Xenopus tropicalis: one gene and its partners. The protein of the gene in region 2 interacts with the protein of the main gene of each other region in a pairwise test. Links are inferred from orthologs where the notes say so. Each region holds a gene or a part of one and is shown on either strand. Other genes may lie near its edges. The genes, in order: oprm1, ranbp9 and mkln1.

Region 1 (3,754 bases), on a different chromosome or scaffold from region 2:
AGCTAGTAAGTGTGTATGGGTTGGTGAGTGGGGTTAGTAGTGTGTTTATTGGTTGGTTAGTGGGGTTAGTAGTGTGTGTATGGTTTGGTGAGTGGGGTTAGTAGTGTGTGTATGGGTTGGTGAGTGGGGTTAGTAGTGTGTGTATGGTTTGGTGAGTGGGGTTAGTAGTGTGTGTATGGGTTGGTGAGTGGGGTTAGTAGTGTGTGTATGGGTTGGTGAGTGGGGTTAGTAGTGTGTGTATGGGTTGGTGAGTGGGGTTGGCAGTGTGTATGGGTTGGTGAGTGGGGTTGGTAGTATGTATGGGATGGTGAGTGGGGTTGGTAGTGTGTATGGGTTGGTGAGTGGGGTTGGTAGTGTGTATGGGTTGGTGAGTGGGGTTAACAGTGTGTATGGGTTGGTGAGTGGGGTTGGCAGTGTGTATGGGTTGGTGAGTGGGGTTGGTAGTGTGTATGGGTTGGTGAGTGGGGTTAGCAGTGTGTATGGGTTGGTGAGTGGGGTTGGTAGTGTGTATGGGTTGGTGAGTGGGGTTGGATGTGTGTATGGGTTGGTGAGTGGGGTTGGTAGTGTGTATGGGTTGGTGAGTGGGGTTGGCAGTGTGTATGGGTTGGTGAGTGGGGTTGGTAGTGTGTATGGGTTGGTGAGTGGGGTTGGCAGTGTGTATGGGTTGGTGAGTGGGGTTAGTAGTGTGTGTATGGGTTGGTGAGTGGGGTTGGCAGTGTGTATGGGTTGGTGAGTGGGGTTGGCAGTGTGTATGGGTTGGTGAGTGGGGTTGGCAGTGTGTATGGGTTGGTGAGTGGGGTTGGCAGTGTGTATGGGTTGGTGAGTGTGTATAAGGTGGTGTATATGGTTTGGTAGTACTGTGCTGATAGAGGTAGTTAGTAGGGTGTATGGGTTGGTGCTGAGTCTGTACTCCTTTGTTTAACTCTTTGTAGCCCAACGTCAGATGAGCAAGCGACTCATTATTAGCGGAGCTGGGCAGTGTTAGTGCGAGTCAATTAGCGCCTGACGGCGGCGGGGAGGCTAATGGGGCTGCTGGTGCGGTGGCTGCTGGCGGTGAGGAGAAGAGAAGAGGCGGGGTGTATATAATAGGTGGATGCAGAGGGGACTAGAAGTGGAGGATTAATGCCTGGAAGAGAAGACACGCACGGCTCTCGCACTGTTGGGTACAGCCATTCCTTGCGCTTTCCCAGCGCTTTGCTATCACCCTCCTTGCCCGCTCCCTGGCCCCTTGCAGCTGGCTGAGCGCTTTCTCTGTGACTGACAGGAGAGGGGGGAGAGCAGAAGGGGCAGCAGTGCGGGGGGAGGAGGAGGAGGAGGAGAGCCTCATTGGAGCCACTCTACATCCAGCGCTCACATCCTAGCGCCTCTTAGCACCAAACTAGCACTCGCTAAGCTCAAAATGGACGGTACCCCGAACAGCTCCCTTCGATCTGCCGACAGCCTGCTCAATAGCACCCTTAGCGGCTTGGGTGACAATGGCTCTCAGATTCCAATGATATGTCCGGTTGGCGGCATGGGCAACTGGAGCAGACTGGAAGGCAACCAGTCATACTTGTGCAACCAGTCAGAGACTTTCCCGGAGGACAGCGATTCCATTATTATAGCCATCATCATCACCGCTCTCTACTCCATGATCTGTGTGATGGGACTCTTTGGCAACGTCTTGGTCATGTATGTCATTGTCAGGTAAGCACTTCACTCCTGATCATGTATGTAGTTGTATGGTAAGCACTTGACTCCTGATCATGTATGTAGTTGTATGGTAAGCACTTGACTCCTGATCATGTATGTAGTTGTATGGTAAGCACTTGACTCCTGATCATGTATGTCATTGTCAGGTAAGCACTTCACTCTTGATCATGTATGTAGTTGTCAGGTAAACACTTGACTCCTGATCATGTATGTAGTTGTCAGGTAAACACTTGACTCCTGATCATGTATGTAGTTGTCAGGTAAACACTTGACTCCTGATCATGTATGTAGTTGTTAGGTAAACACTTGACTCCTGATCATGTATGTAGTTGTCAGGTAAACACTTCACTCCTGATCATGTATGTAGTTGTATGGTAAGCACTTGACTCCTGATCATGTATGTAGTTGTATGGTAAGCACTTGACTCCTGATCATGTATGTAGTTGTCAGGTAAACACTTGACTCCTGATCATGTATGTCATTGTCAGGTAAGGGCTTAAGCCAGTGCCCCTTCCTTCATGCCTGGCACCCCACCCTGGCATTTCGCAGTCTGATGTCTCTCGCAGGCAGTGGGATTACTGTCGCTAATTGCTACTTACTAGAGATCATGTATTATTTAAGTGGATTCACTATAACACTGTATCACACAGTACATTGGGAAACCCACTCATTGCAAACTCTTGGGAGGAAAGGGGATGTGATCAAATCAAACACTAGCAATGTGAATTGTTTCATTAAGAAGCAATGATCATATGTATTTGCACAGATGTATATACTATCCTGTGTTCCACAAGTATCATACAGTGGGTGCCTTTTCCCTACTACTAGAGAAGGTGCATAAAGTACAATACTTCCCATCTAGATCCATGGTCTTCCTCTATGTTGAAATGAATATAAAGTTTCCCTGTGCCCAGTGGACCTGCCCTAGAGCCAACCTTCCCACAGGTCCCTCTTCCCCTGCTAAATCGTACACACGCTCATCAAAGGCTTGATGCCAGGAGCACTTAGATTATTTTTGGATAATAAATATCACTTATCAAGCTTCTGTTAAAATAAAGCAATAGATGAACTTAGAGATGATAGAATCATTTTGTTCCCATTATCAATACAGTATAGTATAGGTGTTGCTACAGAGAGATAAAGACATTGCTGTTAATTAAAGTAGTTTTATTACATATAACTTTTCCTATACCTATAATGATCAGTGAAACAGTATCAATATGTACACAGTGCCATCTATTGGAAGTGATAGTGACATCCTTAACAGGAATCAGGGAGTACGTTTTCCAGACCAAGCCATTGTGGCTAATAACATTGAACTGGAAAAAAATAGCAAACAAAAGCATTCTGTCCATTTTTTTGTTTTATGTTGGTGGTTTGCACCAAGGGGCCAGTCATACAAGTAGGCTGTTGCTTAATTCTAATTCTGTGCACATGTACTATATACAAGCGACATATCTTGGTGTGCCAAGTCAGCACTAGATGCTTCATTAGAGTGTCAGAGTGCAAGGCCTTGAAGATTATTTGGCTTTAGAATAAACATTATTTTTGTGTTACTTTATGTGCATTTTTCCTTTATTTACCTGTATTATTAGTCAATACAACATATTCCGCAATGCTTTTACAATGATTATACATTATTCCTAACAGTCCCTGCCCCAATGCTTACAGAGCTTACAATCTAGTCTTGATTGCAATCACACACTATGGTCAATTTTATCAGGAGCTAATAAACCTGTGCCTTGTATATTTTCCTTTATTCTTCCACAACAGGACACCTAAGGGCTCATTGACAATCAGTGGAGCAGGGTGCCTAGTCATGGTCACCTAAAGACCTGACTCTTTTTGGATTAATGCAGTACTGCCTGTCTTTAGCAGCACCATATTTATAAAGGGTTGCCTGAGGAAGGCAAGAAGGTGTCCACCTTCCCACTCACTACCTGCCCCCTAAATGGGCTGCCATGTTCCTGCCAGTGCAGAGCACAGTTATACCCCAGGGGCAAAGTGCTGAGTGAATAAGAAACTTCATCCTCCTTAGTGCACTTGTATCTGGCTTTTGTAA
Region 2 (3,654 bases):
TTTAGGGCACTTACTGATATTACTGATTTGACTATCAATGGCTGTAATAGTCTTTGGCATAGCTAACATTAGTACATGTATCTGACATTAACGTTAGTACACAGTTATGTGAAATAAAAGGTTGGATTGCAGAACTGACACGTGTCTGTACCTCTGTCCCTCAGGTTCTGATAGCAACTGCAGCAATGGAATAATATCAAACAAGGCTCACCAGACACATTGTCATAGCAAATCACAGTCTTCTAACCTAAATGTAACGGAACTAAACAGCATAAACATGACAATGTCACATCAACTTAACAGCTACTCCAGGTGAGAAACCATGCTGTGTATCCTGCAGGCTTGCCTCCCCACGCTGACAAGTTTTTATCCCAGTGCACCAAACCGCAGACCTACACATTCTGCCACCACCCCCACACGCTTACTTTTCATTTCCCAGGCTTATGGCCAGAAAATAGGCTTCTCTCTTCTCTGCACCTCATTTTTATGTGTAACCTCAACCCCATGATGAATGGCTCTGCTGCAGTATGTTCCCTGGGGCTGTGCAATGATGCACCATTTTGTTTTGCTTCCCTTATCCTCTCCTCTGAGGTCAGGTACTTGCTGTGCTGCCTAATAGCAGTGGCTGCCTAGAAGCAAAGCAGCTTTACTGCTTCACATGGTGTGTGTCATACTGGCAGCCTGGCTACTCGGAATTCCAGCTGCTGCCAAGCACAGGCATAACATATAACAATGATAACAGAGGAGAGAACACTGTGTACTGGCCTTCCCTTACACAGACTTTCCCCTGTACAGTTTACGCTTTACTGCTGAGGGGAGAGAGGGGGAGGTCTTGCCTTCTCAAAAATAACTGCTGCATGAATAAAAGCACAATAAACCAACAGCATAGTATATTATAACATTCGCTGGTGTAGGCATGGGTGTGCAGGATTCGCCCAAATCCCAAAATACAGGATCTGGTGCATCCCTATAAGTTATTCCTTGGGTTTCTTAAACTTTTTTTAAATGGAATTAACATTGTCTGGAATTCCACCTCTACACCCAAGAACTGCAATATAATTCCCTGTCTCCTTTTAATTACTATGGTCTGTTGCAGAAGGACGTTTTACTGTTGATCAGGGTGACCCACTCTAAACAACAGAGGGACCAAATTTTAGGTCCCAACCCATGGGTTAAGAATCATTTTTGTAAATTATACCTAAATGAGCAAGCAATATCTGTATAAAGGATGTTACTTAATCTTTAAAGTTAAATATAACTGCCTGTCCCAGTGTGTAACAATGTGCTTTTCCTTCTTCAGTAATGATGTAGAAATGGAGACCGATCATTATTCCAATGGCTTTTCAGCATCCACGTCTAATGGCTTCCTCAATGGCAGCTCAAGGCACGAGCCTGAACTAGAAGAATGTGACACTGAGATGGGTCTGCAGCATTTTTATCTATATATTATAGGCATGCAAGAAGAAATAATGCAGCGCAGATAATATTTGCACCAAAGTAATCCTCTACACTTTGATAACTACAGAGCTCATGATATCCAGGGGTTTATTTATAAACACTGGGCAAATTTGCACCTGGGTAGTAACCAATATCAACTAATCAGTGATTAGCTTTTTTCAGCCAGCTGCAAGATGAGCAATTAAAACAAACATCTGATTTGTTGCCATGGGTTACTGTCCAGGTGCAAATATCTGCTGTTATGTAGAAATATAATTTGTAACTTACCCTGCATCATTTTTACAGCAATATGTTCTTTACTTAAATCTTGTATTCCCCTTTGAGTGATTGGATATTCAGTGTTTGCGTGGCTAAAAAGAACATGAATCTTTTCACCAATTGGAAGAACCAGGTCAGATTCCATAGTTGTTTAGTAGAATGTTTCTTTACAGGACAAGATGCAGGCAATGTCCTGCTTTGCATTAGGAATGGGACACAACCACACTGACATCTTAGTGCTAAAGCTGATTTATTGTTTTGGTTGCAGAAGTCGATACTTCTCATGGCCGACGCCAGCTGTGTGGAGGCAGCCAAGCCGCTGTTGAGAGAATGATTTGCTTTGGGAGAGAGCTACAAGCCATGAGTGAGCAGTTAAGAAGAGAACGTGGGAAAAATGCAACCAACAAAAACATGCTTAAGGTGCAATAGTTTTGGATTATGGTCTGTTGTTGGAATATGTATCTGGTGGTTTCTTGGTTCTTTCTAAACTAACGCACTCAGCGGCTGCTCTGGGTTTGGAGGATTCTGGATGGGTTAAAAAAGAACCACTTAATTGCAAGTCGGACTGCTTCACCTAGAATAGTTTGTCAGGGAGCACCAAGAAATGTCAGTCAGCATTTTAGTGCAGCATAGGTTAGTTATATGCTTTATTTATGTTAAAGCATATGTTAACTGATCATTCTAACTATCACATACACAAACTATGGTTATGTCCATCAAGAGCCAAATAATATTGCTTGATGGGTTTTTGGGTTTTTTTTGGGGGGGGGGGGGGTAATCCCTGGTAAGACCAATAAAAAAAATACCAGTCTTTTGGTGCCATCTTTCCCATGGAATCCTCATGCAGTTCTGGGTTTGGCTTCAGCCTTTCCTGGATATCATGATAAATAGAATGGGAGAAAGGTGTGCTCAACTCTAGTGCTGATGTTAATGTGCAGTTTGCTGAGCAGTACAGGGTGTTTGGGAAATCTCATGAAACTCATCTAAATGGCACTGAAGAAATGGTCCAATTGTTTCCTTATATTTCTCCTTTATTTTATCTTCTAAACAGGATGCATTCAGTTTACTAGCATATTCTGATCCCTGGAATAGCCCAGTTGGGTACCAGCTTGACCCCATACAGAGAGAGCATGTGTGCTCCTCACTGAACAGTGCAATACTAGGTAAGTCTCACTCTGTTTGTATGGCTTTCCCTGTGCATGGAAATCTGTCCATTCGAATTACAGCCAATGACATGGAATCATGCAAGAACTTATTCTGGGGCAGTAGCATCAAAACAATTTTTTTTTATACCTAAATATAGCATATATAGTTAGATTTGGGAAAGGAAATCTGTTTTGCTATCCATTCCTCCCTACTTTGTCAAAAGGCTATAACCTAAAATTGTACTGCAGGAAGCTAAGAGCAAGCCAAAGTGCAAACTCCCACCCTGCTGAAAATAAACATTAAGCATAATGTGTTCCAATAACAGGCACAGGATTTGTAAAGTACAACTAAAAGCTAAAAAAATATGGCTAGAAATGTTGTAGTAAGCAGCTATATAGCAGTACTGATCCAGGCTATAATAGCAGCTCCCCATCCTCTGATCCTGTTAGGCCATCTTTTAAATGAGTGTGACACTGCACATGGTCAGTGTTCTCTGGGCTGCGCTTGAGAAGCTGAGATTAGGGGTTGGGGGAAATCATCAGAATGTCAGCAGACAAAGCAAGAAGGTGCTACATGGCTTGGATTCAACAAACTAGACTGCATAGTCAGGACTCAGGACATATTTCAGCAACACAGAATCTGCAAAATCATGAAATCTAAAAAAAAAAAAATTTAATTGCCGAAGTGTTTAGAAGAACTTTAGCTTATGTGGGGTATTGCAGATAAACCTGTACTCTATTTCTGTTGTGTTTTTTCATTGCTAATTAACTTTCTCTTCTATGATCCCCTAGA
Region 3 (3,654 bases), on a different chromosome or scaffold from region 2:
ACTGAAGCAGCCCAAAGTGATTTGACCTTATTATTTTCATCCAGATTTTGGTAATTTAGTGTATTCCATTGGCACCACTGAATGTAAGGTAGCTGCATTCATAAGATATAACTTAGGTCAATGAAATTTAAAATAACCCATTGCCACAACTTCATAATATCAAAAACTGTTTTATCCAGTGTAGGTAAAATAGCGTAGCTAATGGTAATGCATTGGTGAACATGTTCTCTTAATTGTATTCTGAATGGCAAACACATAGTTAAGCTCGAACACAGGGTTGGATGCTTACATGTGCCTGTGTGAGTACGGGCGCATTAGGAAGAATAAGGGTGTGTTTATTTCTGTGCTTCCCTGCGGTGGAACGCAGCAGAGGAAAGCACAGGCACAAATGCTTGTGTGTTTGATCCCTTATACTTTTACTAAAAAAAAAAAAAAGGATTGCTTTAGTTATGATCCATTTGTTAACTAGTGTAAGTCTACAAACAGGAGTAACTGTGGCTGTGGCTCATAAACCGCAGCCAGTGAATCAAGCCAGACACATAATGGAAGAAGAGTAAAATGCATTTTTTTTTTTATAAATACTCCCTCCAAAAGAAATATATTTTGCTTGAGACTTCTTTTGTATGTTAGGGTAGATTTATTATGCTGACCTTCAGTTAATTCATCTAGTGCTGTGTTTTCTCCTAGTTATGAATGTAAGGTGTTTAAATGTGTAAGCTAATACAGACATGCCTTACACAGGTTTGAAGAGCGTGCCCAGACGGAGCCCCTCAGTGCACTGAAATATTTGCAAAATGATTTGTTTGTCACTGTGGATCACTCAGACCCTGAAGAAACTAAAGAGGTGAAAAGTACATTTTTATTTTAGTACCAGCCGTCAGCGTGTGACTAAAAATCAGATTGCTATAATTTAAAGTAATACTCTCGTACTGCCCATAAACTCAGAATGCTCTGCAGCCACTAGTGCTAGTGTAGAATGGGGAGTAAGGATTCTCATGCAAAAGCAGATTTATTTATTTTTTTTTTTTTTGTTATATTTGTAATTTTACAAACATATATTAAAACTATTAGAAAGTGTCTTAACCAGAAACTACAGTAATGGGCTACCCCATAGTTTGGAAATCTATGCTCTAGTTAGCATTTGAGATCACCACAGATCTGCATCTCTGTTCTTTAGTGGAAAGGGTTTTTCTTGTGCACTGCTTCTGACAGACAGTAATGTTGTTTAAAATGATTTATACCAAAAACTGGTGTATTTTTTATAATAATTTAACAGTGGACTGCGGGCATGAATATGATCCATTACAACCAGCTGATTGTTGCATTTATAAAGATGAGCTAAAGTGGTTGTAATCTACTGCAGGTTTTACAGCTTCCTCTCCTAACTTACACATCTTTCTGCATCCCCAACTTTTACACACTGCTACATATGTCCAATTCCATTACACATCTTTGTAACTATTAAGTGGCAATGTGGAATGTATTCTAGTGCAACTTATTTACCTAGCTTTATAAATAACTAGGGATGCACTGAATCTATTATTTTTGAGTTCAGCCAAACTCAGGATCAGTCACGAAAGATTCGACCAAATTGAATCCGGACCCTAATTTGCATATGTAAATAGGGTAAAATAAAAGCGCACAGTCCCCCGAACCGAATCCTGGATATTCGGTGCATGTCTTTAAATAACCCCCTTACTATTGTTTGTACACTTTTACGCTATATGCACGACCTGTGGGTATTTTTATGTGAGAAATCACCTGCTATTTCACATCTTGCTACAGGGGAGTGCAAGAAAACCGCACCAGCCCGGGGTACCTGTGGCGAGTGTTTCCCCCTCCTTCTCGCTCGCTTGCGCATGCACAGTAGAGGGAAAAGCCGAACGTTAACACTCTTTTCACTCTACTGCGCATTCGCCGGCCCAGGGATTTTGCGGACAGAAGGAAGAGGAAACGCTCGCTGTGGGTACCCCGGGCTGGTGTGGTTTTCTCCTAACAGGGGCACCAGCCCGGGGTAAAAGGTAAGCGATTAAAGTCACTTGGGGGTGCCTAACATTTTGGCACCCCCAAGTGACTTAGCCTTTCCTTCTCCTTTAATATGCATAATGCTTTTTCCAAAGATGATCTGAAAATTAATTCTTCATAGCTGATGTCCGAGCCTTCCATACTTGGCCGGGTTAAAGGTCGCCTTCTTCTATTCAAAGTGCAGAAATATTTCCTGTACTGCATCTCTAAGATGAAGCATGGCCTTCACCCTATAGTGTCCTAACAATATTCAATTATTACTGTGCATGTATTCTGGTGAAATGTTTGTCTGTATATGAACTGGTGTGTTTTGTATTTGTATCCCTTTACTCTTCTAGAGACATTGGTGCTATAAATAAATATGATAGTACTCTTGCCATCGTCACAGTATTCATTTTATATTTGTCAATACGAATACTCAGTCTCTTTGTGCTTGTGTAATGCACATTCTTGATTGAACTACATAGGTTACAATGTACATTTGAATGCACTGAACTTCTGGCCAGTGAGGCATTAGGGCTCGCTTATGAATGCAGTGTGCAAAGTGCAATTTTGAGAGCAAGTAATGGTTTTTATCCACAAGGCAGCATTTTTAATATATGCAGACTCCACGGGGGAGATGTGCAGCTGGTGCTTGAAATGCATGCAATTGCATTTAGCTACATAACAGACGTAGTTAATAGCAGAAATTGCAATGTCACTTTCAGAATTCAATATTAAAATACCATGTGCACCCAATTTTGAGGTGTAAGTACACTATGGGGCATATTTATTATAGTGTGTAAGCCAACATCACTGGCAATTCTATTTTAGCAGTCGCCTACAAGTTGGGAAAGAAAAGCAAAGATCTAATTGATTTCTCTGGGCAACTTCACCGGTGATGTTGGCTTACACGCTATATTAAATATGCCCCTATGTCTACTAAGCACTGTTGTATATTCCTCTGTTAGCTCAAACATGCTTATTACATGAACAATTGTGTGTCATCTCTCCAAGTCATCAAAAATAGAAAATAATGACAAGGAGGACATGGTACAGTCATTCCTGTGTTGGGAATAGGTTTAGTAGCTTGGGTACTAAAGGGATTGGGCTTAGATGGGAAGTAGCTCTCTCATTTTTTCACTTAATCATCTAAATATTCAATTTTGTTTTTTTGTTTTTTTTGTTTTTTGTTAACAGTTTCAGCTACTTCCTTCAGCACTTTTCAAATCAAATAAAGACTTCACCCCACTTGGTAGGTAAAAAACAACAAACATATCTGCTTTTTTAACATATTTTCTATAGACCTCTGACAGCAACCAAACTCAGTACAGTGAATGTAAAAGGGCTCCAATTGTACCAAATGCCCTGTTCACCAAAATAGTCAGAATGCCTCAGTACAAAGTCTATGTCTGAATGCAATATAAACAAGTTACCCATTTTGGACAGTGGGACCTTTTGCTTGCTTCCTGACAGTTCTTGTTAACAATTGCTACCTTGTTCACCCCTCCGTCCCTTCAGTGAGCAGGGCACTACTGCTGTGCCATTATTTGGTAAAGCTAATATCATTGCAAGCTTGTGGAGTGTGAGCATGTACAGATGTGCAACATGTGACAACTGACATCCTCTTTATTTTGTTTAATCCTTGCC

What was found.
Region 1: the proteins of ranbp9 (region 2) and oprm1 interact in binary tests that used the Homo sapiens proteins (3 or more experiments, as listed by UniProt). The link is inferred for Xenopus tropicalis from reciprocal best matches to the Homo sapiens genes RANBP9 and OPRM1.
Region 3: the proteins of ranbp9 (region 2) and mkln1 interact in a two-hybrid assay, tested with the Homo sapiens proteins (2 studies listed by BioGRID). The link is inferred for Xenopus tropicalis from reciprocal best matches to the Homo sapiens genes RANBP9 and MKLN1.

Annotation. Positions count from the first base shown.
Region 1 is NC_030681.2:43,442,854-43,446,607, forward strand, and holds the start of oprm1 (mu-type opioid receptor), read left to right. Parts: upstream 1-910; 5' UTR 911-1,399; coding exon 1,400-1,686; intron 1,687-3,754. UniProt on the Homo sapiens protein: Receptor for endogenous opioids such as beta-endorphin and endomorphin. Receptor for natural and synthetic opioids including morphine, heroin, DAMGO, fentanyl, etorphine, buprenorphin and methadone.
Region 2 is NC_030682.2:91,811,624-91,815,277, reverse strand, and holds part of ranbp9 (ran-binding protein 9), read left to right. Parts: intron 1-164; coding exon 165-312; intron 313-1,300; coding exon 1,301-1,422; intron 1,423-1,984; coding exon 1,985-2,136; intron 2,137-2,767; coding exon 2,768-2,879; intron 2,880-3,653; coding exon 3,654-3,654. UniProt on the Homo sapiens protein: May act as scaffolding protein, and as adapter protein to couple membrane receptors to intracellular signaling pathways. Acts as a mediator of cell spreading and actin cytoskeleton rearrangement.
Region 3 is NC_030679.2:85,024,964-85,028,617, forward strand, and holds part of mkln1 (muskelin), read left to right. Parts: intron 1-741; coding exon 742-844; intron 845-3,204; coding exon 3,205-3,259; intron 3,260-3,654. UniProt on the Homo sapiens protein: Component of the CTLH E3 ubiquitin-protein ligase complex that selectively accepts ubiquitin from UBE2H and mediates ubiquitination and subsequent proteasomal degradation of the transcription factor HBP1.